2 linked regions of the Drosophila melanogaster genome follow. The protein of the gene in region 2 interacts with the protein of the main gene of each other region in a pairwise test. Each region holds a gene or a part of one and is shown on either strand. Other genes may lie near its edges. The genes, in order: Cyp1 and Syt14.

What was found.
Region 1: the proteins of Syt14 (region 2) and Cyp1 interact in a two-hybrid assay, tested with the Drosophila melanogaster proteins (one large-scale study listed by BioGRID).

What each region holds. Positions count from the first base shown.
Region 1 is NC_004354.4:16,310,031-16,325,866, reverse strand, and holds Cyp1 (cyclophilin 1), read left to right. Parts: upstream 1-5,496; 5' UTR 5,497-5,530; coding exon 5,531-5,788; intron 5,789-7,259; coding exon 7,260-7,685; 3' UTR 7,686-8,194; downstream 8,195-15,836. Other genes in the region: CG32579 (uncharacterized protein), read right to left, coding at 802-1,211, 1,266-1,418, 1,658-1,788, 1,938-2,093, 2,170-2,399; CG9917 (uncharacterized protein), read left to right, coding at 2,914-3,819; SWIP (strumpellin and WASH-interacting protein), read right to left, coding at 8,254-8,697, 8,758-8,963, 9,028-9,454, 9,521-9,675, 9,730-9,982, 10,045-11,145, 11,202-11,408, 11,470-11,985; CG9915 (uncharacterized protein), read left to right, coding at 12,901-12,919, 12,985-14,379, 14,436-14,589, 14,649-15,012, 15,081-15,488, 15,560-15,682. UniProt on the Drosophila melanogaster protein: PPIases accelerate the folding of proteins. It catalyzes the cis-trans isomerization of proline imidic peptide bonds in oligopeptides.
Region 2 is NT_033777.3:4,313,566-4,331,380, reverse strand, and holds Syt14 (synaptotagmin 14), read left to right. Parts: upstream 1-12,311; 5' UTR 12,312-12,753; coding exon 12,754-12,799; intron 12,800-12,871; coding exon 12,872-13,033; intron 13,034-13,092; coding exon 13,093-13,425; intron 13,426-13,491; coding exon 13,492-13,727; intron 13,728-14,274; coding exon 14,275-15,258; coding exon of another isoform or gene 15,259-15,444; 3' UTR 15,445-16,926; downstream 16,927-17,815. Other genes in the region: CG9776 (uncharacterized protein), read left to right, coding at 1,133-1,281, 1,347-3,244, 3,364-3,374; CG9795 (uncharacterized protein), read right to left, coding at 5,546-5,684, 5,892-6,508, 6,570-6,651, 6,709-6,793, 6,871-7,044, 7,217-7,428, 7,492-7,694, 7,759-8,150 and 2 more; Suv3 helicase, read right to left, coding at 17,137-17,539, 17,594-17,815.

The sequences.
Region 1 (15,836 bases), on a different chromosome or scaffold from region 2:
TAGTCCCACTGCGATTTGCCTTGGTCTCCGCCCCTCGTAGCCGAAGTGAAAGTTAACCAGCTGCATGAAATATACAATGCCAACTAGCTTAGCCAACTCTAGCTTCGATCCCGAACCGGTTCCGTTCGGTTCATCTGCGGGAACCGTTTTAATTGCGCCCCAAACTCCATCGCAGCCACCGACTCCGCCAACTGGTTCCAGATGCGCCAGTTCAGATACGCGACTCCATCATCTTGGCGCGTTGCGCATGCGCATCTGGAATGATCGATTCAATTATGATGCATTTGCTGATCAATATTTGGGAACTAGTTGAACAGAAAGGCATTGCATTTGAAAAATATTTAGTAAGCGCTTCAAATTAAGTACACGGGATTAACACATAAATATGACATCTTTTTAATGACACTTAAATACAAACATAGATGTATGTACATATATATGTATGTGCGACTATATTGTGTCACATTCAATTCATATAGTTCACATTTATATTATATATATCTATATATATCCTTTAGTTGATGTTCCGCTACAAAGAAAAGTTCTAACTAAATTTAAAACCTAACTATCAGTTAATCGATGGTCAAATATCGATAGAAAATCTAGAAATGAAATCAAATTTGCATATACATATGTGTGTATGTATGTATGTATATATCCTCTAATAAAAACACAATGCATATTAGATATTAGATTAGATCTGAAACCAGCTTAAGCCAATTGAAAATCAAAGGCGCATCACAAGTGGGCATAACAACGTTTATTGCAAATATACAAAATGCTACTAATTATGCTAGAATTTTAAAAATAAGTACGCACAGTATTTGGATGGCAGTACGTGTAGTAGATTATTAACAGAACAATTCCGACAATATACAAGGCAATGATGGCTGTGGCAAGATACAAGGGAATGTACAAAGCGCAGGCGATGATATTTTGCAACAAACAGAATGTGAGATAGAAGGCGTACTTATATTTGGTTGGTGCATCCTTGACGGGCGTAAAAATAAATAGATAGACAACGCCAAAGCACAGGCAGTACGAATAGTTCATGGGGCGGGATTTTGCGATCATTGGCGAGTCCACAAAGAACACAATGGTGCCGTAAAAGCAAGCCAGTGTCGCGCAGATGATCAGCGTTTCGATGGGAAAAATACTGGCCACATACGCGATGCAAAGCGTTCTCGAAACTACGAAATAAAAGCGAATAACTAAAAGCTTAATATACACATTCTAAGCAACACAGCTAACTAACTACTACTAACCAGTGAGGCAGAGCAGGAAGAGAAATTGCAGAAATCGTCCCTTCGCCGCAATATCATGTTTGTCCAGTTGGGCCAGGCGATTGGAGTGATTGTACGCCTGGATGCACCACGCTATGTTGCCGAAGTAGACGATCAGGGCGATGTGGCGGTAGTCTGGGAAAAGAAATTTGAATGGGTAAATGGCATCCATCGACTTTCCATTCCGAGTTTCACTTTCGTTGGCTACAATCAATGAGTTAGGCTAAACGCCTAAACTGACTTTGATTTGCGAAAGTGAACGTCAGAATTTGGTGTTTATAAGCTTAAATTACTTATGCATTAGTTATCTTAATTAAGGCAGAGAGAGAGAGAGATTGAAATATGGCACTAATGTAGTATTAATATCGTATTACATGTGAACTCCAATGTCGATTGCAAAAGAATTGCCAGCTGTAGTATTTTCTGCGGTGCTGATTCCAAAAACGAGTCGAATAGACGAACGAAACTAACATTGCACTCCTCCGTCATGAGTTTTTGGTAATATCTGTAAGATAAGAATTCAGATATTCGTTATAAACATTCTAAAGTGCTCACTTATGATGAAAAGAGAAGATAAACTAAACGGCAGTACTACCATTTAGGGCATTAAGCTACTATTAACTAGTTTTATACACTGACACTAGCATTACTCACTCGATCTCCGCCTGCTTGTCATCCCGCTCCTTGGCCAACGAGTATTTGAACGCATAGTTTAGGACATAGACATCGCGGAAGAGATATGAGATCACAGCATTTGAGTACACCCCTCGCTCCAGGATGCGTTTTTCGCCGGCATGAGCGCTCTTCAAGCTGAAATTCAAATACAAATTTATCGTTTAGCTGTAGATTTCGGGGGAAGTACACGCTATCGCGATATGTCACATACGTATGTATATATATGACCGATGTGACCACCATGGGCACCAGAATGGAGCCAATGGTCCAGGCGCAGTATCCGTAGGACTCCTCCATCCAGTACACGTACGCCAGGCTCCAGTTGATGCAAATCGAGACGAAGCGCCACAGAATGGACACCACAGTGAGCAGCATGCTTAGTTTCGAGATCGGCCCCATCATAAGGGCGTCCACTTCGGTTCTTTGCTCCGCGGAGGCCATGTCTCCTCCGCCTCCTTATTGCACATGTGCCACCCTAGCCACACACAAATATCCAAGGCCTCGACCTCCAAACTACTCTCGCCTTCAACTTGCTGACACTGGTTTTCGACTAAAAAAAAAAACAAAACACTGAAGATTAGAATAAAGACTGAATTCTACGAGAACTTGTTCATTTGAACTAGAGATAGATCGATCGTACGCTTTTATCGGCGGAAAGCCGATAGTGAGCTGTTGCATCGAAAGCGTCATCGACGAAGTGCCATCTCTAGCCGACGGGTGGGATAGAATCTCCAATTGGGATTTCCATCCAGTGATTTCCTAATTAAATTAATTTTTTCCAATTGCCCAAAGGCATAGGCATATTTCGCAAAACGAACAAATATGTTTGCTTGAAGCGCATAGAATCACAAACAAAAGTGCAAATCTCAGAGCTTAAAAACCAGAGCAAAGGAGAATAACGGAAGAGGAGGCAAGCAAAAAGACAAAGAGGAGTGCAAAAAATACAGCAAACATCATGCACAGGACATATGTAAGCCATGCGATATACGCCATTTGGCTGGTTATATTCGCCACTGCCGGCATAATGGCCCAGCTAGACCTGGATCAGATCCAGACCCAGCTGCCCGACCAGCTGAGGAAGTCAAACTTTAGCGTGAACGACGCCAAGGAGCTATTTCGCAACAAATGCATCGAGGTGGCCGGCGAGGAGGCGGGCGTCGAGGCATACGGCGAGATCGAGTCCGGATTCATGGTGCTAACCGAGTGCCTCAATGGCATTGTCAACTACACGGCAATGCAGCAGGAGATACAGGAAGCGTCGCCCAAGGGCGAACTGGATGTGGTCTTCAACAAGTACTGCAGCCGGCGTTCGAATGCCGTCGAGTGTGTGGATGCGTTCACGGCCAAACTGGTGCCCTGTCTGGTGCAGGAGGAGCGCGAGGGCCAGGATGTCATTAAGCAGATCATCCAGAGTCTGCTCAACTTTGTGTGCCACAAGGATGGCGATCAGATAGCCCTGTTCATTGCCGAAAAGGGACCCGAATGCATTGAGTCCCAGAAGGACAACATTCAGCAGTGCGTGAACAGCACGTTCTCCGAGTACCTGAACGTGTCGGATCTGCAGGACAACCGCATCAGGAGCATGCCCAAGCTGACGGTCGGTCAGAAACAGTGCGACGAGATGCTGACTCTGCAGGCGTGTGTGGTCCGTAAACTGGAGCAATGCTCGGACATAACACCGGCGAATCTCGTCGAGTCCATGTTCAACTTCATTCGGAACCAAACGATGTGCCGTGACAATCAGAAATCGCCGCTCGTTGCGGCTGCCGCCAGCGGAGGGAGTCGGGTATTCCATCAAGTGTGGACCCATGTGGGCATCTTTTTGCTAATCCTGCGATTCGCTCTACAAAAGTCTTCTTAGTTCTAAGTCTGGGCGTCCGCTATATATCTCGAATCCGAATCTGTAAAACGCCTTCTCAACGCTTTGACTTTGGCATTCCAAAGCGATTAATCAAAGAGCACGATAATCACTGTTTTTAAGCTTTTGCTTCGCTTATATTAATATGCATGTAGCCGTGGAACAGGTGTCCATAGTTCAACCGCTTTCGGGGATAAGCATGCCAAGGTGCTGCTGCTCCAGGCTAGCCAGCCATATCGTTTTTGTTTGGTGCTTCTAATTTATGTAATTAATTGCCAATTGATGTATGTATGTATGTAGTATTGTAAACAATGCTTATACTTCCTTCTAGTTTTACTTCTGAATCAGAAATTCTTCTGGCCTTTGTCATGCGTTTATCTAATGCTTTATTTCCGTTTAATGAAATGGCGTGGCTTGCGGTTCTGATTCGAGTTGGGTTTGTATTAATCTCTTTCATTTAAATTCACTGAGGGAGGCAAATGGTAATCTCACTATTTCATAGTGGATCGGGTATGGGTTTGGGAAATGAAATGCTATATATGTAAAAACAATGAATGGATATGTTTTGTAAATGAATATACGTATCATTATTGTAATAATAAAGTGATAAATGTAAAAAGAAGGACGAGTTCATTTAAACTGGGAGTTAAAGGTCAATTAGGTGGTGAAAAGTACTCAGAGTAGTTGAGACCGTGCAGCTGCATTCATTACGTTTTCAGAAATGAATCACCAACTAGTTTTCACCTTGAACGCCATTTTCAAATTTCGCGGCAGAAAAACCACAACAAAAGGCGCGAGAAAAAGCGGAAAACAAATTTGAAAACATTGTTCCGATAATTGCTGATTATTTGTGAGCAATCATTTCAAGTAATCGAAAAATAATTTTGAAACAGGCTGTCTTGTTAGGTCAATTATTTTTTATCGTGCCATTTAAACAAAAATTATTTATATTTATTTATTTATTTTCCATCGTTTCTCCAAATTACATTTAAAAGTTTGTAAGACTTAATACTGTAAAACACTATTATTAGTTATTAACTATAGTTTAAAATGGCAAAATAGAAAATGCGACACGCACAATTGAACTATCGAAACGTTAATATTTAAAACAAGTAATTTAAAATAATGAATACATGTATAAAAATAATTAATACATTTGTTTTTAAAAAGCTATAGAAATAGCTGCATATATGCTTTAACAATTTATGCTTAAAAAGTCTTTATAATAATCCTGTGATTTCGCCGTGATTTTTGGGTTTACAATGTGCTGTTTTAGAATAATGGTTATTTCAAAGTGACCACTATTTTTCAATTATCTTAATTTTTTAATAGTCTTGTGTTTATTTCAACTTTAAGTTTTATATTTTAATGGCTCTTTAAAAGCAAAAAAATATTTGATTTTTAGGAGTGATCGCTGATCACGATGCTGTAATTTTTTGTAAGATATTTACTTAACGAAGGCGAATGCGTTGTTTCGATTGGCGGTTTCAAATGAGCGCAAGTAAATGTATTTATTTATTATAAAAATTGTAAAAAGGGCGCATGAACGCGACCATTTATCCGTTTTGATGGGGGAATGGGCAGCACAAAGTGCGTTTATGGGCGCCCTAAAGTGATGTAACAATTGCTGCGACCGCAGCAGCAGCGAAACGCGCGGAATGGAACGCACGGAACGATATCGTAGTATCGTACATGCGGTCGCAAGCCATACACGATGGTCTCTTTTTGTGCAACTCTGATTCGACAGTTTCGGCACAGGTCGGCAGCGGCATTTCAGATTGCGGAGTCCGCCATTTTAGCTAACAAATCTATAACCCTAGCTTCGTCAGCGTGCAGTGTGAATAGGGGTCAGTTGCAGTTTGGAATTCAGATTGTTCGCGAATATTCGAAAGCGTCAAAGATGAGTACTTTGCCTAGGGTGTTTTTTGATATGACCGCCGACAACGAGCCCCTCGGTCGGATCGTCATGGAGGTGAGTTATTTGCCCTTTTTTTTTAATTTTAAACTTAAGTTGAGGTTTTTTTTTTTGTGACATTTGACCAGAAAGTGAAAAACACGTGATTTCCCATAAAGCCATTTCTTACGCCTAAAGCTAAGACTGTGTTTTACATTATTTGCCTCAGGTGATAAGTACATACCGTTTTTTTCTTTTTATTTTTACGGATTTAAAACTTGTACCAAATATACACACAGCGCAAACTCGCCCTCTAATTTATAAGCGACAAGTGCAATTACTTTCCATGACTAATTGCATGACAATGCGCTATGGGTAAATTTTCAATTTTCCAACCCAATTGGACAGGCGCGTTTAATCGGAAAATCTCTATAATTATCTCTACATCGCTGAATTTTGAGCAAACAGGCAAGCAGGAGCACCAACCCCCGCAAATCGGCCATTTGGTGGTATTATCTTTATAGAATGGAATTTTCCTTATTTTAATTGACGTGTCGGCAAACTTTGGCCGAAATGGTGTGCAATTTTTACCGGTATTTTATATGCATCTGTGCATGTGTGCTATATATGTACATTCCGGCGTGGTCTGCGTATGTGTGGCTCATACCCATACACACATGCAGATCAATACACGAACATAACCTCTAAGCGGTCACTCGCGTATGTCTGTATGTTCTTGTCGTGCTTGCATATGTACATGTGTGCATGCGGGTAATGTACGCGCAGATGTACAGTGTACACACAGAGATATTCGGGTGTGAATGCGCGAGTTCTGTAAACCCGTTTGCAAACATGAACTCACTATTAATTCCGCCGATGATGTAATGTACACCTAATTTTTGAATAGAGAAAAAGAATAGGAAACGCGAATGCTTGATGTATATTTTTAGTGGCCTGGGAATAAAGTCATTGCCCGCCAAGTAAACCAAGCCACATGTCTAGGATTTTCCTTCCAATAGGACATACATATGTACATACGCACACTTGAACATACATGCAGTGCGCGAAAAATTCTGCACTTCACGCCGAATTACTACACTAAACAATTGAAGATTTATAGAGAAGCGGCATTAGGAAAAGCATTTACTTGACTAATTTATACAATTGTCTCGATTACTGGGTGAATTGGAAAATTGCTCAAATTCTAGTGCATTTGCAAAGTTCTGTGCATTATATGTATTTTTTCCCTTGGTATAGATATGCACATACATATGAACATGCATATGTATATTATCAAAGGGCTAAAAATGGCGATGAAAAAAAAGCGGCGTCAAAAAACAGCTGATCATGTTTACTGCCGCTCAACATGAATTATACAGAAAATTGTCCAGTCCTCAAAAAAAAAAAGAAATAAATAAGCAAAAAGTAGTGGCAAGGTCATCCGAGTTCGGATAAACAAACCTTGAAGAACTGAAAAAGAGTCATACTTTGTTAGCATTAATTTCTTGTTTACTAACGAAATTTCTACCCTTTTGTTTGTATTTTGCAGCTGCGCTCCGATGTCGTGCCCAAGACCGCCGAGAACTTCCGCGCCTTGTGCACCGGCGAGAAGGGATTCGGGTACAAGGGCTCCATTTTCCACCGCGTCATCCCCAACTTCATGTGCCAGGGCGGCGACTTCACCAACCACAACGGCACTGGCGGCAAGTCCATCTACGGCAACAAGTTCCCCGATGAGAACTTCGAGCTGAAGCACACCGGCTCCGGCATCCTGTCGATGGCCAACGCTGGCGCCAACACGAACGGCTCCCAGTTCTTTATTTGCACTGTGAAGACCGCCTGGTTGGACAACAAGCACGTCGTCTTCGGCGAGGTCGTCGAGGGACTGGATGTGGTCAAGAAGATCGAATCTTATGGATCGCAGTCTGGCAAGACCTCCAAGAAGATCATTGTGGCTAACTCTGGTTCTCTTTAAGAAGGTGCGATGCAAAAGCAACAGCAACATTGCAAGAAGAAAAATCTGTTAAGACGAAAACCATTTGCATTTTCTCCAAAACATTTTTTTTTACCAATTACTGTACTGTAATATTACGAGAAAAATACATAACAAACCAACATATTTTCAATAGACATGTTGGGTTTCCTTTGGCCAATCAATTGTATGTGGGGGCCAAAAGTGAATAGAATTAGTGCCCACCAATGTCAGAAAGCGTTCAATTGGCTATATAATATGCATTAAATCTGTAACTTTAACATTTCCATTCACAAAAAAAAAAACAAAGAAGAAAAACAATGAGACGACAAGAGTCGAGAGGGGCTTAGAAAAATGTTTGATCTTTTGATGTTGGCTTACTTACTACTAATAATAGTATTAGTAATGCTGATTATCTAATTGCATATATATATATATATACCAACGTTCTACGCTATGTACCGGAATCGGAATTGTATTTTCGTCTTAATAAATCTGAATAAACGGCAACCAACTACTCAATTGTTTGTTGTCACTGCTGGGATCTTTGGTTTTGGTAAATGGACATATTTTATTGGAAGAATATTTCGGAGCTACTCAAGGTGGCGTACAATAGATTGTATTCATGCTCGTAGGCGTTCACATGTCGTTCGGTTATCGCCACTGTCTGGTGAAGCTTCTCGTCCAGCTGCTCCGGCGCCGTCCGCTGCTGGCCCGCCAAAATGTCGCGCACCTTGGAGCGCTCCGCGTTCAGGTGCTGCGTGATCGTCTGGCTCCAGCCCAGCTCATGGAACTCCGTCTGCTGGTTCAGCATGTTGAGGATGTAGACCAGGCCGATGGCGAAGCCATCCTCGAACAGCGAGATCTTGGTCTGGTCCTTTTTGTAGATCTTTAGCTTCTGCTTGACCCGGTAGTCAATGTAGTTCATGATGAGCGCCGGTGTGATGAGGTAGAAGGTTCGCAGGTGGTGGTTATGTGGATTGCACAAAAAGGGCTGAAAGCCTTGCAGAAGAAGCTGCAATATAAATCCATGGGTTAAGCTGGTTACCTAACTTGTTAAGATCGTAGACTGCACCTTGAAGTAATTTGTGCTATCGGAATAGCACTCCTTCATGTGACCCAGGCTCTTCTCGTACTCCCTGATGGAACCCTCCGTAGCCTCGTGCACTTTGGAGCCCCCGCAACTGAAGTTGCTGTCGAATCTGGTTTTATACGAGCGATTCCGGAAGTTGGCATTCTTGCTTCCAGCCTGCAGGAGGCGCACATAGCCAACAGCGTTGCCTAAAAGCAATATTTACGTTTATATTTTAAGCATTTTCTTGAATTATGGTCTTTAACCACCTACCGACTTGTGTGATAACCTTCCTGAAAAGATCCATATACGTCTCGCCATTGCTGGAGCAGCCTAGCCTTCTGATCTTCTTAAGAAAACTATCGGCGCGCTCATAGGGATACGACTGATAGGACTTGCTGTGCTTGTGCTCCGTGTGAAAACGCAGCTCCTTGAGCAGCCGCGACTTGATCTGCTCGTCGTGGAGGAAGGTGGAGAAGGTGTAAAACTTTTGGCGCAAAAACTGGTATATAAAGTTGACGGTGGTGTTGATGATACCGGTGCCGTGCGTCTGCACCGAGTTGGCCACGTGCCGGGTGCCAATGATGTCGAGGTGCTTGCTCCTGCTGTTCGTCTCCACGAACACCTGCAGGTTCATGTTGTAGGCATACGAGGAGGCGAAAGTGTGTATATTCCGCATGATCTGCAGCACGTCTATGCCCTTGAAAGTGGGAAAGAATTGTTTGGTTAATAGAAGAGATTGCTTATTGATGATTCAATTGGTTACCTGGTCAATTATCTGATTGGGCAGGTGGTCATCGATGGGTTGCAGCTGCAGCACCTTGTTGGCCAAATGACGCATCTTTTCATACGATTTCCAGTCGTGCGGAGCGATTGTCGTTAAGTTGTAGAACGTGGCAGTGAAATAGTTCTCAAGATGATCTAAAATATGTTAATGAATGGCATGATCTCTCAGTTTTGTAACCGATATCTTACCTTTTATAATATTGTAATCACCATCGTTTTCAACTGCAACTGCATTGATGCAGAGACGATAGTCTAAGGCACTTTGCTGGAATGGTTGATCCTGGCTCTGGAAGAGATGCGAAAGGGCCTCCACGCGCAGAAAGAACTCCAGGTGGTTGCTCAAAAACTCAATGATCAAGTCATTCGCTGATTGCTTGGGACACCTTGAACCCCTGAACATGGCCATGATCTTGTCCAGATGATGGCTCACCGACACGAGGTTCTGCCGATGATAAATGGCATAAACATGAAGTTGCTTTGCCAGAAACTGAGTAAGAAACCAACCTGCAAGGAGTAGGGATTGCGTTGGAGTTCGGTGTACTCCTTAAGCACCGAAGTGTCCAGAAACCAGTGATTATATACCAGACTCGAGGACTCCGACGTGTTAAGTTGTCCACCAATATTCCGCATAATGTCGCTGATACTATTAACACGATGTAGGATCGATTTGATCAACTTTTGATTGTCGGCGGGCAGGAGGCGATTATCTAGAAACTCCCCGAGGGCTAGATTTACGAAAGTCAAACGTTGCTTGCTCGGAAATCCCATAATGGACTTCTCGGCCAGCTTTATTGTGGCCAAAAAGTTGATCTTGCGCTGCAGCAACTTGAGGACAACTATCTTCTTTTTCGTTGTGTGCAGCAGGTGTATGACCTTTTGCTTCTGCCATTGTATCAGTGAGCTGATAAAGCGCACGAAATTGATTTGGTTTGACTCAAAGGTCTTCTGAATGACCTTCAGGTACTGCAGCAACCGAGAGACGACGATCCAATCGTTTCTGGTCATGGGCGTCATCAGAGCCACGTGCCGATTGATCAGCGCGACTGCCAGCAGGTTAACTTGATCGGCATAGGAGTGTCCATTGAGAATCAACTGCAGAAAAGTCTTGAGGTGTCCAAAGACTCCCACATCGAATACCCTTTGCATTTGGATGGACCACAGCGATAGTTGGACGCCCAATTGGCGACAGGTCCTCTGATCGCTAAGCCTAAACTTCTCCAATACTGTGCTATGAACTTTTGGGCCTTGTCCATCTTGCGATCGGGCTGAAGACTTCATCAGGGTTTTGGCATGTAGAGAGAGGAATCCGGAAGGCGACCAGAAAACGCTTCGGTTGAGAGGCACCTGCTTATGCCTGGCCACCAAATCGATCACATTCTTGACCAGTTTTCCCTCCATCTGGATGCCTAGCTCATGGACGACGACCACGAAGGTGGTAAGTCGAATAATGTGCTTGGGATCCTCATAGTTTTTAAGTTCGTTACTCGGATTCGCGTCGACGTCGAGAAGCTGCCTACGAATATAGGCATTGGAATGCTGGGTGATGGGGCTAACACTATTCAGGCCAAATTGCTTCTTCAATTCCATCAAATTGTCCAGTAGAATCTGTTTGGAAATATCCATGAAAGGGCGGTTACCATTCACGTTTTTCTTTGACTTACCCGAAAGAAATCCTTGGTGATCAGATTCTCTATATCCATTAGCGATGTACTAAGGCCATTGAGCTCCAAGTTCGCTGATTGGCTATTGGATAGGTTCATCAGCCACTTCTTGTACAGCGCCCACATGGTGGATATCTTCGATTGGTTCGCCAGTTCATTGAATACCACTATGTGTTCCAGTAACTCACTCATTGCATCAAAGACAGCCTGCAAGTTTCGACTTCAATTGGTTACTACACTTGAGATGTGAGTTCGATCGTTGACTTACGAATATGTGGACTTCATTGATGTCCATTGGGACGCTAACAGATGCGGCTATTTGTCTCCAAAGGTTTTGGAGTATCACAATCATGCGATTGAGCAAGAAGTAAACCTGGCAGAAGAAGTCCATGGAGCTGCTCATGCGGACCAAGGATCCCTCCAAGCCGGCGGAACCCTCGGATGTGTGGGTATGTGGCGGGAGCGTATCATCTAATCGAAAGTCGCTGAAAAGGAATGCCAGCTGGAACCGTTTTGCCTTCCTGGACAGATTTCTGCACTGATTGCACAGATTCGCCAGAGTTGTCAGCGGTTTATTGGCCACCAGCTCCGATTCCTCAAAGCTTCTGTCCGGAGCCATGGAATCGTTGCCCATAAAGTTTACCTCGACCACGGGCGACATATATACACACTGTGCAGACTCGGAAACATCCCGATTAGGCACTTTATCTCGCAATAATTTCAATTTCCCATCGTGCTCCGATATGAAGGAGCCGTAATCCCGTAGGATATCCTCGGCAAACATAGCTGAAATAGAAAATATATAGATAAGAATAGTATTCCATAGCTGATATCGGCGTTTTCATACACATAGAGCTTTGCTCTTCCTTCATGTCTACCAATTTTAAAAATATTATTGTTTTGGTTTTCTCATGGCAAATTTAGGGATGGGGCATTTCAAGTGGGTGGATTCCGATTCGATAACGCTAAATTCTCGATATCTTTTGTTTAAACAAGCGTAGTTAAAACCCAAAAACTGTGTAAAATCGAAAATCGCGATTAATTGAATGGAAAAGTTGGTAGCATGTCTATTCCGATAAATGATTTATTTATACAATTTATAAGCAAAAATAATCCTCAGATAATAAATTCATTTTATTTATATAAGAAGCAATATAAATTTTTGATTCAAGAAACAGCGGTAAAAATACATAATCGTAATGACTATGAATATATGCAATACCTAGTTTTCATTCTGACTTAACAAATTAAATCAATTTCTATAAGTTTGGTTATCGATTTCCAAGGATTAAAATCGTACTCCTTGACACGAATACCTGTACGTCGCAGTCTATTTTTAAAACAAGACTTTTGTCCATAAACAAATTTAATTTTGATATTTAAGTTTTGGACTTAAATGTTTTGTAGAATAAGTTATTTCGGATGTCTTATCATAGAAGTTTTGTTATCGATAACAAAAGGCTTGTCGTGTATAAGGGCCCTAAACAGCGTGTATGCATTAGTGTATGTGTACACACAAGCGTTGATGTTCCGTTTCCATTCGTTCCACTGGCCTTACAAATGCCGAGCAATAAAATCGCGTCGTATTTTATAAGTCATTGCAGGAATTATTTAATTTGAGCCTGAAAGCAGTTTGACCAACTGACTAGGCAAATTTGGTTGTGTACTACTAAAAATTTATAGGAATAATTAGTACGGCATGGAAACGTCTGAAATAGGTTGATTACCAAATTGATTCTTAATGGAAATTCTTGTTTAACCATTTTATACACTTAATTTTCAGAAAAGGCCGGCGGCGACGAAGCCGAGACCTTATCCGAGCCACTCGAGAAGACCACAACAGACACGGCCGCAAAAGCGGAGCTAAAGGAAATTCAAGATACCAATCCCGACGCAACCAATTTCGAGCCAGTATTGCCAGAGAAGAGCAAGAGCAAGTCTCCTTCGCCGGCACCCAAGAATGGTGATGATAATGCCGAGGCCATCGCCGATCGCTCGCGTAGTCGCAGTCGCAGTGCTACCAGGAAGAGCGCATCCCGCTCCAGAAGCGGATCCCATAAGTCCCGCAGCGGATCGGTGCACTCGGCAGCCAGTGGCCGGCGTTCGCGCAGTGGCTCCAAGCAGTCGCTAAACGGTTCCCGGCGGTCGCGGAGCGGCTCCGCTCCGTCCCGCAGTGGCTCCCGTCATTCTGGCGCAGCACCGGGATCGCCTGCTGGATCCAGACGTTCGCGCAGCGGCTCTAGACGATCCCGCAGCGGTTCTAGACAATCCCGCAGCGGCTCTAGGCGTTCCCGCAGTGGATCTAAGCAATCGCACCGCTCACGCAGTGGGTCTAAGCGATCCCGCAGTGGATCACGTCGCTCCCGCAGTGGCTCTAGGCGATCCCGCAGTGGGTCTAAGCAATCCCGTGGTGGATCGCGCCGCTCCCGCAGTGGGTCTAAGCAATCGCGCAGTGGATCACGTCGCTCTCGCAGTGGATCTAAGCGATCTCGCAGTAGGTCCGGTTCTAGACGCTCAAATGCATCGCGGAGCGGTTCTCGACGTTCGCGAAGCGGCTCTGTATCTAGACGATCTCGCAGTGGATCTGGATCAAGGCGTTCTCGAAGTGGCTCTAGGCGATCGCGCAGTGGATCTAAACGCTCCCGAAGTGGCTCCATTTGCTCCCGGAGCGGATCCAGGCGCTCTCGTAGTGGATCGGCGCGCTCTCGCAGCGGATCTCGCCGTTCCCGCAGTGGTTCTAGACGCTCACGCAGTGGCTCCAGACGTTCTAGGAGCGGATCGAGTCGTTCGCGCAGTGGTTCGGGCTCCAGGCGATCGAGGAGTGGATCAAGACGATCCCGCAGCGGATCCAGTCGCTCGAGAAGTGGATCTAGTCGCTCGAGAAGTGGATCCAGGCGCTCTAGAAGTGGTTCTAGACGTTCTAGAAGCGGATCCAGGCGCTCTAGGAGCGGTTCCAAGCGCTCTAGAAGTGGATCCAGGCGCTCCAGGAGTGGATCCAGGCGCTCCAGGAGCGGATCTAGGCGCTCCAGGAGCGGATCGAGGCGTTCTAGAAGCGGATCCCGCTCCCGCAGCCGCTCCATTAGCGGTGGTTCGCGAAAGGGTTCCCGGTCTCGTTCCGGTAGTGCCGCATCCCAGACAGCTTCCAGGCGAAAAAGACGGGCCATCAGCGAATCTGATGGTAAATATTGGCTACAACTTTAAAAGCACCTTAATTTATGTATTATTTCAATGTAGACGACGGACCGAAGGTGACAAAGAAGCGTGTAAAAATCACGGACACAGACAATGAAGAGGATGAGCAGGACAAGGGCATAGGCAAAGAGAAATCACAAGACAAAATCACAGAGAGCTCTGACGATGAGAACACACCAATTTCAAATGAACCAGAGTAAGACTTCGTTTCCTTCAGGCGAATAGATTTTAACCCCACATTTACTGCCATTGCAGGAACAGTAACTTTATTTCCGACTTTGATGCTATGCTCATGAGAAAGAAGGAAGAGAAGCGAGTGCGTCGGCGCAAGCGCGATATTGATCTGATCAACGACAACGATGATCTGATCGATCAGCTTATAGTCAGTATGAAGAACGCTTCGGACGACGACCGTCAGCTGAACATGATAGGTCAGCCGGCCACAAAGAAGATTTCCATGCTGAAGCAAGTGATGTCACAGCTGATCAAGAAGCACTTGCAGCTGGCCTTCTTGGAGCACAATATACTCAATGTACTTACAGATTGGCTAGCGCCCCTGCCAAACAAAAGTCTGCCATGTCTTCAGATACGCGAGAGTATTCTTAAACTGTTATCAGATGTAAGTGGCATGCTTAGATTATTATATATTATATTATGGCTTCTAATGTGTGGATTCTCCATCTTTAGTTTCCTACCATTGAAAAGGGACTTTTGAAACAGTCGGGCATTGGCAAGGCTGTGATGTACTTGTACAAACACCCCCAGGAGACCAAGTCGAATCGCGATCGCGCTGGTCGCCTGATTTCCGAATGGGCTCGGCCGATATTCAACGTTAGCTGCAACTTCTCAGCGATGAGCAAGGAGGAGCGTCAGGAGCGCGATTTGGCGCAGATGTCACGTCATCGGCATAAGAGTCCGGATACAGAGCCTTCCTCCAGCAGCAAAGCACCTACCTTAAATCAGACCCTCTCCAACGAGGACAAGATGCTGCGTCCCGGAGATCCCGGTTGGGTGGCTCGCGCTCGTGTTCCCATGCCCTCCAACAAGGACTACGTCATCCGCCCAAAGTCAACCGTCGAGGGTGAAGTCTCCGCGGTAAGTAGTCCAGCATAAAGCCCTGGCTTTCGCCTCCACTTATTCATTGATTCCATTGAATCTCATTTCAGTCGACAAAACGCAAGCCAAACCGCTACGAGAAGCACATGAAACGTTTCCTGGACTCAAAGCGACTGAAGGAGAGCCGCAGGGCCGTTGAGATATCGATAGAGGGTCGAAAGATGGCACTATAAGCAGCATTCTAGCTAACTTTAAATTAAATAATAGAACGAAATTAAAAAAAAAAATGTATATTTTTGAATATAACTAAACGCGAGAAACGCTGGCCTTTTGAATTTTTCGGGTCCATTTGAGGCATTGAAAACGATAAGCTAGAATCCAAAGTCA
Region 2 (17,815 bases):
AAATTGAAACAATAGTTTTGTTAAGATTGAACGTTATTTACATATCGTGAAATCATTTCTACGTTTAGCTTACATCAAAAGTTTTGTGTGTTAAATTTGCACTTAAGATATTTAGGTAAATTACGTTATTCACTTGTGCTTTCATGCATAAAAAAAGTTCGGATTTCAGGCATTTGCCATTCGCACATAATATCAGCTGTCACTACCCTTGGCAATGATGTAGTGTATGAGCAGAACAAGTTTGAAGATTGCTCCAATTGTCAACTTTTTTTTTTGCTGTAAAGTTGGCTTTTACCTTTGTGTCAATTTATTAATTATTAAATTGGCTTATTTTTAAAAGGTTAATTCTTCTTTTCCTTCCCAGCAACAAAATTTAATGGTAAGATGGGAATGTGAATGTAAATGGAGTAGCCAACATGTGCTTTAAATATATTGTTAGTACTTATGTAATCTTACTACAATCATAAGTTAACAATAAATAAATGGAAGCCTATAGAGGCATGTCCGTTTGTATGAACATCGAATTTTTGGGAACTATAAAAGATACCTAAGCATGCAGATTCTATTGAGGTTTTCGTGGCGTAAGTTTCTTTTAGAACATTGTCACACCACAAAGGCCACAAACGGTGGCTATTCTATGGTATTTGACGCCCAAAAACTGTCTCGCCCACACTTTTTAAAAATTTCATTATACCCGTTACTCGTAGTAAAAGGGTATACTAGATTCGTTGAAAAGTATGTTACAGGTCGGACTCGTTTGTGGCCATATAAAATAAGGATATTCCTGATCAAGATCACTAGCCGAGTCTGGCCATGTCCGCCTGTCAGTCCGTTTGTATGAACGTCGAGATCTCAGAAACTATAAGAAAAACTTCGAGAAGATTTAAGTTTATTCATTTCCCAATTTCTATCGACATGCCAAAAAAAATTTTATAGCTCTCGTTCGCACTTCCACTGAGTCACCAAAGGGTATCTAATAGTCGGGGACCACTCTTGTCAAAACTAACATAGGCCTTCCACTTACCTTTCTCGTATATATTTTATAATTGCTTTTATTAATTCTTCGCCTCATGCAATTATTCTCCTGTCAATTTGGAATATATTATTGACTTTTTGTACCCGTGCATTGCAGCAATTTTTAAATCAGAACCCCAACTATGAAATAGAGTGGCAAACAAACCGCGAGCGGGCCATGAATCAACAGAAAGATCACGATGATGCCAAGAATAAAAAGTCCAAGAAAGACGAGGACAAGGCGTCCAAAAAGAGGAAAAAAAAGGGGTAAGGGTCATAAGAATAATTTGAATCCAGATTATATTTTATATTTGTTTCTTTTTTACAAACAGCGGGGACAAAAAAAAAAAGAAGCGCAAGCACGGAAAGAAGAGCAAACGTAGTACAATAGATGCAAACAGCACATCGTCATCCTCCGATAGCTCTTCGTCGGAAGAGGAAAATGGACAGCAACCAAAGAAAGGTCGTACCGAACAGCAACCAATTTGTCAATCAGATAAGTCGACTAATGCAGCATCAATACGAGTGGCCATGAGAAAGCAGGAAAGCACACCAACAAATTTGAAGCCGGAAGTGCCTTGTCAGCCTGTGGTGCCGCCACCGCCACCGATCATAAAGGATTCCACAATTCCTTCAGAACGGGGTAAATGGACTGCCGCCAGTGTCGAAGACCAAAGTAAGGATCAAAAGAACCGGGATGATACCATGCTCAAGCAATGGAATAATGTGCAGCCTGTTATAAGTGAGAGTGAAAAAAAGTTGTTGGAGCAGCTTAAAGGAAGGCTGAAGAACAAGGGAGCCCGCGACCAGAACAACCACAAAGCAGTACCAACAGAAGCGAATGATGAAAAGTTTAGGCGGGGTGGAGGACGTCATTCTCGTTCACGTTCTAAGCGGCGCAGCTACTCTCGAAGCATAAGTCGCGGGCGGGATCGAGATCGGCGGGATCGTGAGCGAGATAGAGACCGTGGTCGTAGGCGTCGGTCACGCAGTCGTGGCCGACACTTCTCTCGTTCGCCCATAAGATCTAGTCGAAGAAGTCGATCCCGTCAGGGCCGAAGTCGACGCAGTCGTAGTCGCTCTATTGAACGGGTAGAGCGTCCCGTGGTCAAGCATTCCGAGTTTCGGCCCCGTACTGTGCCGGAACGCAAGCAAACTGATATAAAGCGCGACAAGAAGGATGCAGAAAGCAAGTCAAAGTCATCCAAGCCCAGTAACAATTCCTTGCCTGGAGGCAAAAAACTACCTTTCATCGGTAAGATGCCAGTATTTAAAAAGCAGTCTGTTCCATCTTTCAACTATGATGCTTCTGCTGTCTACACCAACGGCTGTTTGGAGGCACCACCTCCACCGCCACCTCCATTGGGCGGAGCGACAAGTCAGATAGCTGTGCGTCAACAAGCACCGACAGCTGCGCAGATTCAGATGGCAATGATGGAAGATGCTTTTGGCAATGCTCCCCCATTTCATCCAGATGCGGGTATGATGGTAGATTACGATGAGCTAATGCCAGATCCTGTCCAGTTCGCCAATTTAATGACGAGCTGCCCACCACCTCCGCCGCCTGGAGAAGGCTCTGAAGGTGATGCCCATGGCCCTGAGGATGGCGATCAGCATGACAACGAAAACCGAGAGGACGTCTTGCCCCCAGGCATTGATGAAGCTGAATCTGCCCTGGTACCGCATCCGTTAGACGCTGCGGCACAATCCCGAGACGGGGAACTCCCAAAGGACCTGGTCGAAGCGCTTGACATAATATTCCCCAGCGACGTAGCGATTTTGGAGGCATCAAATGGAAACAGTGAAAAGCAGGAAGATGTGACTATCACCACCATTGTTGAAGATGACGCAGTGCTCAGTGTGATTCATCTTCAAGATTTAGCTAAAGAGGGTATTCACCTTGTAACTATCAATGAAGCAGAGGTACCTAAAAAGTCACATATTCAAACATCGGAGAAGATTGAAAAGTTGCAGGATTTAAATGGCAAATCGGACGACGGAGTAAACATAAAACTGATTGACGCAGAGGATATCCCAATGCCGAATTCGCCTCCGGCTGAGCCGTCATTTGACGAGGAGACGAAAAGCAAGGCCTTACAGAAGCAAGCTGATATCTCAGAAATACCAGAGCCGGCTGTATCGCCTTCAGACAGTGAGAAGCTTCGTCGTCAGTCGGAGCTTGACGAGTTGGCTATGCTGGGAATCGACAGGAGTGACATGGCGGCACAATGTATGTAGAACGTGTCTTTCTTTGCTATGTATATTATTCTTTTTTTTTAATTAAATTAGAAACTGTGCTATTTGAGTCTTAAATGAGTTCTACATTATTTTTTCTATATATGTGCATAGATGCTCTGTAAGATTTGAGTTGACTTGGAGAGGGCGAAAGGCAAGTCCCGACGCCGGATACACGGGCGGACGAATCGAATAACACGTCAAGGAGCCCCATAAAAAGGAACAGTTTTAGATTTTAGATTGGCACCTGTGTATGAGTGTTTTTGACGGAATGTTTTAAATAAATGCGCATATATGTATGTAATATATGTAAGAATCCTAAAAACGTTTGATTTATAATTGCTTTAACATACACTGCGCGTCATCAGATTAGAGCCCCCTGCATGTCCCCGTTTCTTCTTATGTTCTGTTTTTCTATTTTGTTTTATTTTGCCATTGCATAAAAATATATCAATTTAATTTTTTTTTTGTTCACTGATATTCACCTCTTTGAGGATAAAAAAAGGTCCTGAAAAAAACCGTTATCTTTTTAGTTCTGCTTTGTTTTCTTTTCGGCGAAAAATTGGACACGTATATGGCATCATCAGATTAGCGCCCCATAATGAAGTTTGGAATATCTTCCATAATTTAAAAGGTAGGACAACAAAATTTTGTATGCTGTTAAATTGAATAGTTTGCTTTAATTTTGCGAAAAAATGGGACGAGGCACGCGAAATCATAGCTTTCTATGAATGCGGGCTTTCTTTTTATAAAATTGCAAACGGCAGACATCGCAAAACTATAGTCAATTTTATTAAAAACAAGTGAACTTATGGAAAAAACTATAAAGGTGGCAATAACATTCCTTATCGAATACCTTGCAATTCCCACGACTCCTCCGACAAAATTCGGGGTAAAAGTGGCGAAAACCCGAGCAAATCTTTGATTCAAAGAGTGATTAAGAAAACTAAACATTTGAAACACAGAAAACTGAAAAAAAACATCTCTTTATAAGTTGCGAAAAAAAGCACGACTGAGTTTTGCTTGAGCTTATATGATCCGGTCTAAGGAGTGGCATTATGTTGTATTTTCGGACGAGAAGAAATTTATCTGGAGAAAGCAGACGGCTATAGTAATTACAACCATGATTTGCGTATAGAGGAGCATATTTTGGTTCGCTTTCACAGACGGGTTGGAGGTGTCATGGTATGGAGCGCAGCATCTTATCATGGCCTCTGTGAATTCCAGTTTTTAACAGCAAAAATTATATTATTATATATAATTGTGTATTAAAAAACTGCATTTCCCTATTTTAAAAACATTTTTGGAAACATGGATTCAAAGCGAAATGTAAAAGTTCTGGGGCATGGTTGGATGGGAAGGTATACGAGGGTGGTAAACAATATGCCACTCAAGAGGAATCGATCACCGAAATAAAACTCGGTTGGTCTACGATTGCTTTGGATTACCTACAAAAAAATATGATTCACTTCCCAGACGAATGTGTGAAGTCCTTGAAAACAAAAAATCCTTTAAAAATATTCTAATTTAAATATTTCAGTGCTTAACATCTAATTTTTATTTACTTGAATAAAAATCTATAAACAACAAACTGTAACCCAAATAAACTTTTCATTTATAGAACTTTTCAACTCTTAAGGGAAAAAAATTTTCAAAGCTCTCGCTTACTAAATATCTCACATCAAAAAGTTTTGCTTAAGAGGCGCTGACCTGGTGACGCGCAGTGTATTAAAAAACTATAAAAACGCATTCCGTTCATGTTAATGTTTATGTTTATGTCTATTTATATGAATATATTACATTTTTACATTTTTTAATTAAATGGCACTTAACAAATATGGTTAACAATTTTCATTATTCAACCTACTTAATTATTATTTAAATTCTAGGCTTTTTGCGTCTATATAGATTTTGATTTTTGTTCATTTCGATAGGTACAGGTTTTCTTAGTTAATCATCCACAAAATACAAACACTGTTGTGCAATGCATCTCAATTAACTCAAAATGAATTAAATAATTTATGGACCATATTCATTTAAAAATTTAGTGACATTTATTTTTAGTAGACAAAAAACAATGAGTTTCAAAATTTTAAATTACAGTTGACACTTGGTAAAAGCATTCTAGTTAATACATTTGAGCTTACGCACAGGTTATTGGGTTATAATAAATTTTGAAACATAAGATGAAGTGTCGTTGATGTGATAATTGTCGTGTATCCAAATGCTATAAGTGAGTGACACGCATTTTGTGTTGGCGCAACCCTTTTGCTTTTGAGGCGGCTTATAGCTAAAACTATAAGTCCGTAATCGGAGCGTCCGCCACGCTGAATTTCGATGATAGCGTTATGTCCGCTGCAGTGCTTGATACGGTCGGGTTCCTCTTTGTCTTACCTCTCACCTGGTCACTTAGGTCTTCAACCAATTTCTCAAGGCTATAATGTTGCCCAGTATAAATAACCATTGAAAGATAAAAAGGAAGTGTACAATTTGTAAGTTTTAGGATTAGTTACCAAGCTCAGATAGTGATTAAAATGATTAGTAGAATGTGACTAAACGTATATTTAAAACGTCCATGCAAGTGAAAGTTAACGGTGATGGGTTAGTTTAAAAATGTAGAACAGAGCATATACTACACCCACGCAATTATACGTTGATTTGTCTCCTTACGTACGGAGGCCGCCTCGCTGCGCTCCCGCTTTAGATGAGCGTGGTCCTTCTTTCGTGGTAGCAATGGCGGTGGAATTCCCGGATTGATCTGGTCAGAAGCCAGCGCAAAAGAGGGAGGGCTTCTAACTGCTTGCTTTTCTGATTTAGGTATCTGTGAGTGAGGCGTTAAGTTGGAGGGAGATTGATGACCGATGTTCAAACACGATAAACTGTTGTTGCCAGTCAGGGATAATTCTTCTCCGTCCAGTCCTACTTGCTCTACTAACTGCTCCTCTTCTATTTCGTCGTCCTCTTCCAAAGAGTGTGTCGTTTGGATAGGCGTTTGATGCATTGTTCCATAATGAAGGTTTAAAGATTTTGCCCGTCGTATTCCGAGGGCACCGGAACCCACAACTCCGCCGCCACCCCCATTCGGAAATGGCTTTCGGAATCCATGGGATCGGTCATTTTCGTAAATAATGTCGTTACTGATTGGCCGCTGGTTATAACAACCGGCCAGAGCTTGACGAAGGCACTTGTTTTCGGATTCCAGATGTGAGAGGCGTTTGTTAGTCTCCTTTTTCTCCAGTCGCAACTGCATTACTTGGGTCTACAACCGAAATCGAATTTTTAGCTTTTAGCTTTTTATGCACATTTATTTTAGCACTCACCTTTAGATCGTCTATATCTCTCAGAATTCGGACATTTCCCTCGTTTAAGGAACACTGACGTTCTTCAACCATTAATTTTACTCTGAGAACAAAATGTAATCAACACTCTAAATATACTTTTTAATTTTCGACTTCTTACCGACTTAGCAGTGCATCTTCGCGTATGCGCGCTGCCTCCTTCACTTCCCGCACGACATCCGTCATCATTCCTGGAGTGTAGGCGCCTGAAAAATGGGAAGCGAATATAACTTATTACTCACTCCTTTGCATGGCATAGTTGGGGGTAGCGTTTATGTTATACCTGAGTGAAATGTGGGCGCTGGGCTGTGTGTCCCTCCCAATCCACTGCCAAGAATAAGAGGTTGACTTTGTGTGCTTAGCCCGCTTAAGCTATCTCTACGGTGCCGCATGCCCCCAAAGCCTACACCTGCCCAGTGCTGGCTATTAGGGGAGTGCTTTAAAGCTTCGATATCAACTATGATTGTGTTTGCAAGTGCAAGGGAGTACATAGAAAGAGGAAATGGGTGGCAACACATTCTAATTAGCATACGAGTACAAGTAAAATAAATCAGAGATTTGTGTAATTTTGTCGTAATTTGGGAAGCATCGTGACATCTAAACTGGACACAATCCTACAAACCACACACCTTTTGTATTATGCAAATTCCGGCAGATCTTGGAATTGGTGTCGTGCAATATGTTTATTTGTTCCATTAGAGCCGCGAAAAATTTGTTTTGATGTGCCAGATCACAGCCACTGCCATTGTTGTTCACATTTCGACACTCTGGTGTATTCTGGCCACTCAGCTTAGAGTCATTATCGGAGGGGTTCAGTAGGCACGGATCGCTGAACCGAAATCTGTTATCACACGGTAAGTACGGCTCTTTAATAATTCATTACGAATTTATTGTTTTTGCTTACCCCTTGGTAAAGTTGGGATTGCTTTCGCTGCCATCCAGCACATCCGTCGAATTCGGTTCCTGATCGCACCCAAGCCCTTCCGGCCCTCCCATCATGTTGTTCAGGGGAGGCAAGCTTGCAAACTCCTGGCCACCATCACCATAGCTGTTAAGGCTCTGGGGTGGGAAGAGCATCGGATATCGATGGCTAAGAGAGTTCGAATTCTGTAAAAATAAAATAAAGTTGGGTGTGCGTTGTACAAAATATCTTGCAATAGCAACTACTCACGCGCTGTATCCCCAGGCTAAACGGTGTGCCTGGACCCACTCCGTAAGGCTGGGTTCGCTTCGAAAATTCCTGTTGCCTCTGCTGCTGTAGTTGCTGTTTAAGCTGCGGCAGCTGCTGCTGTTGAGTCAAAAACATTTGCTTATGAGCTGGTGCTGTGGGCGGTATGAAGTCCAAAAACTCAGATGAAGAAGACAATTGGGCGTTGGTGGCATCACGTAAACAGCTCTCCAACCAGGCATCAAGGTGATCGTTGGAATAGTTAATATCGGTTCTCTTGACCTCACCGATGTTCGTTTGGTTAAGAGAGGTCGCCGCTGCTTCAGTTTTTTGGGCCAATGGGGAAGGTGGTACGTTACGCGACCTTAGTTTCTTGCGCTTGGTGGCATCCGTAGCTGAAGGAGAATTTAATTTGAGGTCATCTTGACAATTTCAATAGTGCAGGTCCTAGTGTGGACAGATTACGTAGCTAAAGGCTTCACGGCTTTCACTTCCAGCATTGACAAAGTGAAAACTATTACACGAATTCAACAATTCCGGACGTAACGCTCAACTCGGCGGCTAAACTAGAGTTGTCTAAGTTACTTTAGCCCAGAAAAACGTCTGGGGCAATTTGAAGCAATTTTAAGACTATTTTGGTTCGTTTTTCAATTGTTAAAACCAAACGGTTTTCTTTAAGTCAAGCAAATACTTGGTTTTTATAGATTGAGCAAACTCGATGCCCCTTTCGATAAACGGCCAGTAAGGAGAGCAAGGAAATTACTCAGAAATGCTTCTAAATGTTGAGGGATTGTCACCGAACCTTGAAAATATACATATTCTGGATTAGGATCACTAGCCGAGTCGATCTATCAATGTCCGTATGTCCGTCGAGGTCTCGGATACTATAAATTTCATAATAAGAAGCAAGCTTGTTTTGCAACTAACCAAAGCTGACACTCCCACCCCTAATTTGTTGTCATTTGACTGTATATATTGTTAATTTCTATTGATTAAAACTGCCACGCCCACACTATTGAACATTTTCAACTTTTTAATCAGATGTATGTATACTCATATACTTACTTAATATACATATGTACTTTATACTGTAATATTAATTTTAAACAAACAGTATATATTTTGCCCACCTTATATAATTCGGGAGTTAGGTAAATAGTTTCCGTTATTTCAATGATATATCTCGGACAAAGGCATCGTAACAAATAAAATTAAGTCGATTACTGACCGTGAAATCAGTCAGTTTGAATAGATTAAATCTTTTCGTAATTATAGTGGCTAAAAATAAAAGGAACCTTAAGATCAAAAAATGCAATATAACATGTTTATTATATCAAAATTAGTACAACACAGAAGAAACTTAGAGGTTTCTTAACTTTGCAGGGAATTATAAAAGGCGTAATGTACAAAATTAACCTAATTGATTTATTATTGTGTTTTGTATTTATTTAACATTTCACTCACTGATTTGGAATTTAATGTGAATTTTGAGTTTATAATACCAAGTTCTTTAAAATAGACTTTATAAACAACCTAGATTAACGGATATTCAATATTTCGGACGATGATCTCGCTCACCTCTCTGTGTACTGTTCAGACCCGCTCCAGTAGTGACCTTTTTCTGGGCACCGATCCCGCCGTTATTTCCTGGCGTTAAGCAAAAGCTGTTGCCAGCAATCAGCGACGTCACTTCTGCGGGGAAATCCAACCCACCGCCGTTTGTGCTTATCTCCCTCTGGCTGGAAGTTGTCGTTTCCTCCCGCAAAACGCTCATGTTGCTTCTGAAATAGAAAAAATACGGATAGTTAAGTATTGTTAAGCGAGGTTTTTCATTCGTGCGATTCCGCAGTGGACCATAAAAACTGGAAGCACACAGAAATTAACCCACGAAAGACTCGATGTTTGTACCTAGTGCACTTGGGGGAGACAATAAACAGAAGTGAAACAGCAAGAAAAATCCTCAAGTTACGTATGCAATCCCTGGAAACAGCCGTACGATTTCTCCAAACACTTGCACGACCACCGTCACAAACTGTGCTGTGGTTGCAGAATATACAATGTAAAAACATTTAAATGTATGCAGGCACAGACCAGTGGAATGGCACTTAATTGACGAACAATAAACATTTATTCACTTATTGATCTACAAATGAATTTAGACGAATTCACTAACAGATAATAGAATTTTCCAGCGGTAGCCCTAAATCAGCGTTTTGTGTCTATAAAATTGTCAATGAGGTTTAACAGTTTACAATACGATTGATAGTTCAACTAAAAAACCTATTTACCAGTTTTAAGCGTTGTTTCTATTAGTATGTAACATCTAGTAATACGTTCGGGATGAAAATAGGCGGTAGCTTGGATTCAAGATAATTGTATCTACTCCCACTTTAACTGACTAAGAACGACATTGGCAGTAAACTCTGGCCACCAAGATGAACGTCAGTCAAGTATAAAGAGAAAATAAACATTCGCCGCTTTTGGGTCAAGTTTTTTTTTGTTGGTGGGTGGTTGCCAGCAAATATACATACTGCAAGTGAAGACATACCAATAAGCATAAGGTATTTGGCAGCCAATTGAAGTGGCTGGTGCGTAATCTATGCAGTCGAGTTAACCGAAAATTAAGCCGCCAAACCAAACCGGTTTCACCGCTGTGTCTAATGACCTTTCCATTTAACAAATTTTAATGACACCAATAAAGAAAGGCTGCGTTGTCAATGGAGATGGTGACATGGCCCACAGCGACTCCTTCCCGCGATCAATGACTAAATGCACACGGCGACAAAGAGCTGGAAGAGCGAGTCGCTTGGTTTGTTGACCCAATCGAAGAGCACTATACATACATATGTACTTCGATTGCTTGAGCTATATTGTAGCAAATATTTAAACCCTGGCAAAAAATGTGAATTAGATATTGACTTGGCTGGCGATATTGATCAGGAATAGATATACTTGATATGGTCGCAAATATCTCCACCACTGCGTTAAAACCTTCTAACTGAAATTAATATACATTCTGCAAGGGTATGAAGAAATTAGGATTGACAGAAATGGAGTTGACTTGAAAGTTGAATACTAGCTTAAAAGCTCAAAAGACCGGGAAACGACATTGTAAGTTTTTGTAGAAATTCCAAGCATCTACAGCTGGGATTCCCACGCCATTGCTCACTGGTCCACTGCAAAAACTTGCTTACAATAGAATATTTTCTAGAAGCTCTGCGAGGATATTTTATATATTTGGAAGTACACATATATACCTAACGAAAAATGCCTTGGTTGTTAGATTCAAGGTTAGACAAACTTTTATTTTCATACAAAAGCGTTATATTATATGTATTTAGACTGCACTTTGCCAGATTCCAGTTCGGCTTCGTGCTGCTTTGTGTCGAAAAGTTTTGACACGCGCTCAACTCTGGTCTGGGCTCTTGGTACGGGAAATCGAGTTTTCAAATCCCTGTTCCACCCCCATCCCACCCTCTCGATTTTCATTGTGTGCGAGTGACTGCTGCGAAATGAAAAGCGAAACGACATAAGATGACGTCGTAGACTGGCTTTCTTCCTCCTGCTAGCTCCACCAGCAATAAAGAAACGAAGTAATCGACGCCAAGGAGGTGGTATCACGGTACCACCGCGGTATTCCGCTTTGTGGGGGGCACTGAGCACTATATTTAGCTGTTTAGCCATAATCATATTATCAGAAGCGTCTCAGCGGAATTTGGCACACACGGCACTCACACTTGCCCAGTGGCATTGGCCATCCAAAATTTACTTGCGTCACAATTGCGGATTAAATGTATTGGACTTTCAAGCACGGCGTGGGCGCGGTCACGGTTTTGCATACGGTGTTCTGACAGGCGGAAACATTCAGTTTGAGCAGCGACAAAAAATTAAGCGCACAACGGAACTGAGCCAATTCATTAGGCATTTATTTTAGAGGTGGGCAATCTGCGATGTGCCGTCAAAGCGATGACTTTCGCTGGAACAGCGATTGTTGCGATTATCGATACCTGCTGCTCGGAGTGTTATCTGCTATCGAATAACAGCGCATTTCATGTATGTAAGCATGAGTAGCTCTAAAAATTTTGACCTAAATTATAAGGCTCTTTTTTAAACAACCGGACAATTACCTGAATGGAGCATACAATGTGCATTAATTCTGATGCACTAATTCCGCTTTTCTTAATTATTTGGTTCAAATTTTTGAACATCAATAACAGGCAAACGGTCTTGGTCTTAACATTTTATGAAACCGTGGCTACGACTAACGTTTAAACCTTCGAATGCATACGACACGGAGAGAATTTTTATTCGAGACATTCTAAACAATTACAATTCAAGAAATCACAGCACAGCACAACCAATAAAAAAGAATCCCGTTTCTAAGTTTTCAGCTTAAATCATCCTCCCAAACACAAAAAAATAAGCAACAGTTGTTACTGCGATGCAACTGTCGAAACGGAGCTTTTCCGAGCCCTGTGTGTACACACACTGGGGGTGGAGGGATTAAGCTCCAAAGTGCTTGCTTTGAAGCAGTTTTTCCATCGAGTTTAAGGCAGCTCATCCTAATTCAGTTGAATTAAATCCTGAGCCGTTTGATTTTTATTTCTGAATCTCTCGTTGCATGATTCGCAGTTTTGGGATCGTGCCTTCAAGAAATCGAAAGTGATTAATAGGATAGAACAGTATAGTTGTTCCTTCTATAATTTGTTTTACGATTTTGCAACCAAATCTCAGATGAACGGTTCCGAAATACGGAAGGGCCAAAAAAACGGGTAATTCGGAGTACACCAGCTTCCAAACGACTTTTTTGCTTTGATCCCTAGTCGTTGTCTTGCGAAAAATCGATTCCAGTTATCCTGCGACGCTGTGCTGTCAAATTCCTGAGCTTTTGCTTTCACGCTGCAGTGAGAATAATTTTTAGTGACTTGACTTGTGGTCCGGGTGCAATGAGTTGCGAGTAGTAGACTCGTGTTCGCCAGGATCCTCGCATGAGCCAAGATGATTGTTACCTCCGCTTCTGGACTGGATAGCACTCCGACGCTCGGTACGTAAAAATGTATATGCACCCCACAAACCACACCATTCTGACCTGAGCCGTGACTGTTAAATCTTTCAGGCACCATCGAGGTGACCACTTTGCTGGGCGCCTTTTTCGGCGTCCTCGTTCTACTGCTCCTGTTGTTTCTTTTCATCAGTCGCAAGTGCTGTTTTCACTACCGCCATGCCATCAACTGCTGCGACGAGCGCCACCTTGCAGTCAAGTGTGTGCAGAAGATCAGTGAGTACCGTGTTTCGTGGGGATTGGGGCTGACTGGCTAACTTTTAAGTATCCCGCAGCCCGCAAAAGGCGTTACGAGAACACCAGCTCCGACTCGGAGGAAGACATCTTGAGGCGCCTGCGGTGGCATCAACAGCACCAACTGGGCGAGAAGCCTGGCGGATACGGGCTGGGAATCAGCCAGGCTAATCCGCTGACGGCGCAGAGCTTCAACTACCACCAAGCAGGCGCAAGTGCCGACCTGCAGCGTGTGACGGTGTCGCGTGACCCCTTAGCCATCGCCGAGCGTGGCAAGGTTGGAATCCCGTCATCGCACAGTGAGTGCAGCTCGAACGATTCCATGGAGGTCTCCGTGGACAGTCACACAGGCGTCCTGACGGGTCTGAGCAAAGGTAAGCAAGGCGGGGTCAGGGCCAGCTAATTGACAGCCGTTGCAATGAGTCACGACCTTTTGACAGCCACAACCACAGTTCCCCACCCGGCGACAGCCTTCCGCAATCCGTGTGGAGAACACCGGGCCAAGACCCAGGCACTGAGGTACCAGCACCGGGTCAACGTGGCTGCTCCGCCAAAGCTGGACAAGGAACGGGACAACGTGCTGGTGGTGCCCATGGTCAATGCCTACAGCATTAACAACAACAACAACTCGATAACAACCAGCAATAACCATCCCAGCAGCAACAACAACGATGACGTAAGTTTTACAACATAAGAGGTACTTTAAATACCTATTCCTTTAAAAGAAACTATGCCTAGAAAGGCATTCAACTTTCGGTCGGACTCGTAAAGTTTACCCAACAAGCATAGTCGAGTCTAACCGACTCTTATGGTCCATATAGTCTGTTAACAATCTTTTTTTGCTTGACAAGTTAAAATTCATTAATGCGTTGTATAAATTCATTAATGCGTTGCATGTGTAAAATAAAAGTTTATTATCTTAACTTTGAAAAATTATGTGCACCGCATAAATTAAAAATTCTTTCTAAGAAATATAATTAATCTGTCAAAATCCGATACTTTGCTAAAAAATAAATTAAAGTGTTTAAGTTACTTTACTTGCGAGTACCAATTGATATTCCAAAAACTATTTATCCCTAGGCTCTTATTATAAAATCTTTTTGATGGGTAATGCGTTCTTGATAGTCGAGGCACTCAACGATAGCATTTCATATTTTCTTGTACCATGCTTTAGGGCTTTTCATTGAAACTTTTTTTAACATACAAAACTTTTCAACTTCCAGGAACCCCTATTTGACACCAGCGATTTGCGCTCGATCAAGTCGGATGACCTACTGGTTGGTGTGGACCAGAAGGAGCCGGCCGTGCAGAGGGGTCCCATCGAGCTGGAGCTGTCGCTGCTGTACGACGCCCCAATGCGGAAAATGACGGTGCACGTGATGCAGGCAAAAAATCTTCCGCCCCTGGGTAGTGGGCAGACCACCCACACGCAGGTCCGGATGCTGATGCTGCCAAGCAAAAAGCAGAAGCTCAAAACCAAGATCCGTAGCGGCGAAAATCCACAGTATATGGAGAGCTTTCTTCTCCATCGCGTCAACCCAGAAGATGTGAACAACATGGGGCTGCGTGTGCGGCTTTACGGCTGCGAGCGGCTGCGCAAGGAACGCCTGATTGGGGAGGCGTATGTGAGCTTCGCCACTGTTGACCTTGAACTGGAAACAAACCTATGGCTGCCGCTGGAGCCACGAAACACCTCGTCGGGCCTGGGTTCTACTAGCGATCTGTTAAGCCTGGCTCGGTCAGAAAGCGCGGGCTCCACCTCGTCCATGCAGCACGGGGGCGTCTCCGAGTTGCTGCTGGGTTTGAGCTACAACGGGGTCACTGGGCGTCTGAGCGTCGAGATCATCAAGGGAAGCCAGTTCCGCAGCTTGTCGCTGAACAAGGCGCCCGACACGTACGTTAAAATGGTTATGGTCAGCAGCATCGGACAAGAGATCTCCCGGGCCAAAACGTCAATCCGCAGGGGTCAGCCTAACCCGCTTTTTAAGGAGACATTCGCCTTTCAGGTGGCCCTGTTCCAGCTCAACGATGTTACTCTGATGATCTCTGTGTACGCCAAGCGGCACATGAAGAAAAACGAGATGGTCGGCTGGTTCAGCCTGGGTCTGAACTCGTCCGGATCAGAGGAAGTGGCCCATTGGGCAGACGTGTGCGAGATGCCCAAGGGAGAGATGCTGGCGCGTTGGCATGTGCTGGTGGACTCCTGATTCGAGCAGCTGGGCCAGTCATCCGGACGCAGCGGAAAGGCCCTCCGAAAGCTGAGTCTCGCTGCGTTCAAGGACCGGTCCCGCGAGAAGAGCTCAAAGGAGTCGCGTCTGGAGGAGAACGGAGCTCAATTCCATGCAGCGGTTGCACTTGATATTGAGCCAGGCCTGGAGCTGGACTTTGTCTAAAGCAGAGGTCTGTGTTTGTGATTTGTTTTTACAAGGTCGATGCCAAATGACGACTGCTGTCGTCAAGTGCTTGGCTCAGGATGAGACCGACCAAGAGGTAGGGTCATCCGAACAATCTAGCCTAGACTGGGCCATAAAATATTTGTAATTTGGAATCAATTTGGCACACATTTTGTTTATAAAATGTAGGAAATATGAAATATGAAAGCGAACAAGAATAACCAGAATACTCAAATTTTATACGCAAGTACATACACGAAAAGTACATACCAGTACTTATATGTATAACTACTCGAAATTTGAATTTTATGATTGTTTGTGATAAAGAATACTATATGAAATATCAGATGTCCGAATAGAGCGTATTTAAGATTTTGAGTGTACATTTGTACATCTGTGCAAGCTACGGATGAGTGACGAATTTTTGTAATTTACCTTTCTGCATCTTATATTTAAATATTAAGCCCGGCATAAGATGCCCAAAGTCTGTTGAGACTAGCACTTTTTTATTACCCAAATATGAAAACCGAAAACACATAGGAACAATTGTAGCCAATGCATACGTACATACAATACATCAAACCTGCAACTTACATACCTTAACAAACCTACGTACATAGGTAACTCTTGGTTTTTTGATCAAGAGCCATGCGCATGTTCCAGTTTTGATATTCAAAGAAATACAAAAGTATCGGTACCTTAGAATTCGAACGCACAAATACATATTCTACATTCGAAGATAAGTTGGAAAAAATGTTGGTAAAAATACTAGGACATCTGTGAATGCAAGCATGCCGATTCGCGTGCCAGGCGAGAAGATGGATTTTATTAGAGCTTTATTTCGATTTAGGGATCGGACTAAAGAGCACATATGTATTTAGCTGCTCCGCTAAAGTATCTGACTATCGTTGACGGTCGTTGTGGCTGGATTTTGCAATGGTCAATGAAATGAAAGTACTTTGGTTTTGCATTAGAGCGCAAGAATGATATAAGTTAAACTTATAAAAAGAGAAACCTTAAAGCTTTAATAAATATTTAAAGAAATTGTTTTTTAAACTCAAATTAAATCGAAACCTAAAAAAGCAAAACTATTAAGGTGTTGCCATGCGCATCCAGCGTAATATTAATTTGTATGTTGAATCATATTCAGAGTATTTATATCTTTTAAAAATCTGTATGTTTTAAGTGTCGAATATTTTATAACCGCAATTCGAATGAATTGGTGCTCCTTATTACTGCAAAGGCCATATATAAGCTAAGTCTATAACTTCATTTGGGAAGGACAGCGAGGATAAATTTAACTAACTAATCGAAATCGTTAATGTCGGTATTACATATTTCTAAATTCAACAGTGCAACGGCTGTTAGCCTTGACACAAAGTTCATTTTTGTCAAGTGTTTCAGACCAAAGACACTAGAATAACTCTAGTGTCTAATAATTCTAGTGTCTTTGTTCAGACTCTGCGTCCCTCCATAAATTGCAAAAAAAAAAAAAAAAACAAATTCATTTTCTTTTTCTGACAGAGATAACATAATAAAACTTTTAAATTTAAACAATTAAATTGCCATTGTTAATTATCAACTAAATAATTTTAATATAACTTAATTGCCACTTAAAATAAAAGTATATTATATAAAAATCCATTTCTTACCTACTTATTTCGTATTCTAACTAATCCTGAGCTGGCACGTTCATTTTCTGCGTTTTTTCCTTGTCTTTCGCCCGATCCCTGAGTAATTATCCTCGTCGTCACTATTCACCACTGGTTCCGAATTTTCATTAGATTGCGAATTGGATTTGCCAAGTTGCTGGGCGTCCCATTCCTTGCGTAGCTCGCTAAGCATGCCTGGGGTAAGAAGACCCTGTGCAAGTAACCTTTCGGTGAGACGGCCACGCGACAAGCTGGGTAGACGAGGCTCCTTCACGTGCGTTATTCGGCGGATTGCATAGTTTGATGTTTCTCCGTCCTGACTCGCCTCGGTATTTTTAAGCAAGCGAGTTATTTGAAAAACGCCCTGCTGTATAATTTCGTCCAGTTCCTTCTGGGCATCTCGCACGTAGGCCGCTTCAGGGAAGAGATCCATGAACCGATAGCTGCAAAACAAGTTTGATTAGATTTTTTCTGAAGCGCACTTGTGCGAGACTTGCCTTAGCCAAAGATACAGATCCATCACGTCAAAGACGGCCTCAAGATGGACCAGGTCCAATATCGTCTTGGGTAGCTTGAATGGCCAGCCACAGTTTTTTTTTATAAAATCAAAGGTAATAGGCTCGTTGCGGCTGTATTGCCGTGCTACCTTAAGGAACATTGAGCAAACAAAGGGCATCTTTCGATTAATAGGTGCACAGCAGAATACATAGCGAGCCCGC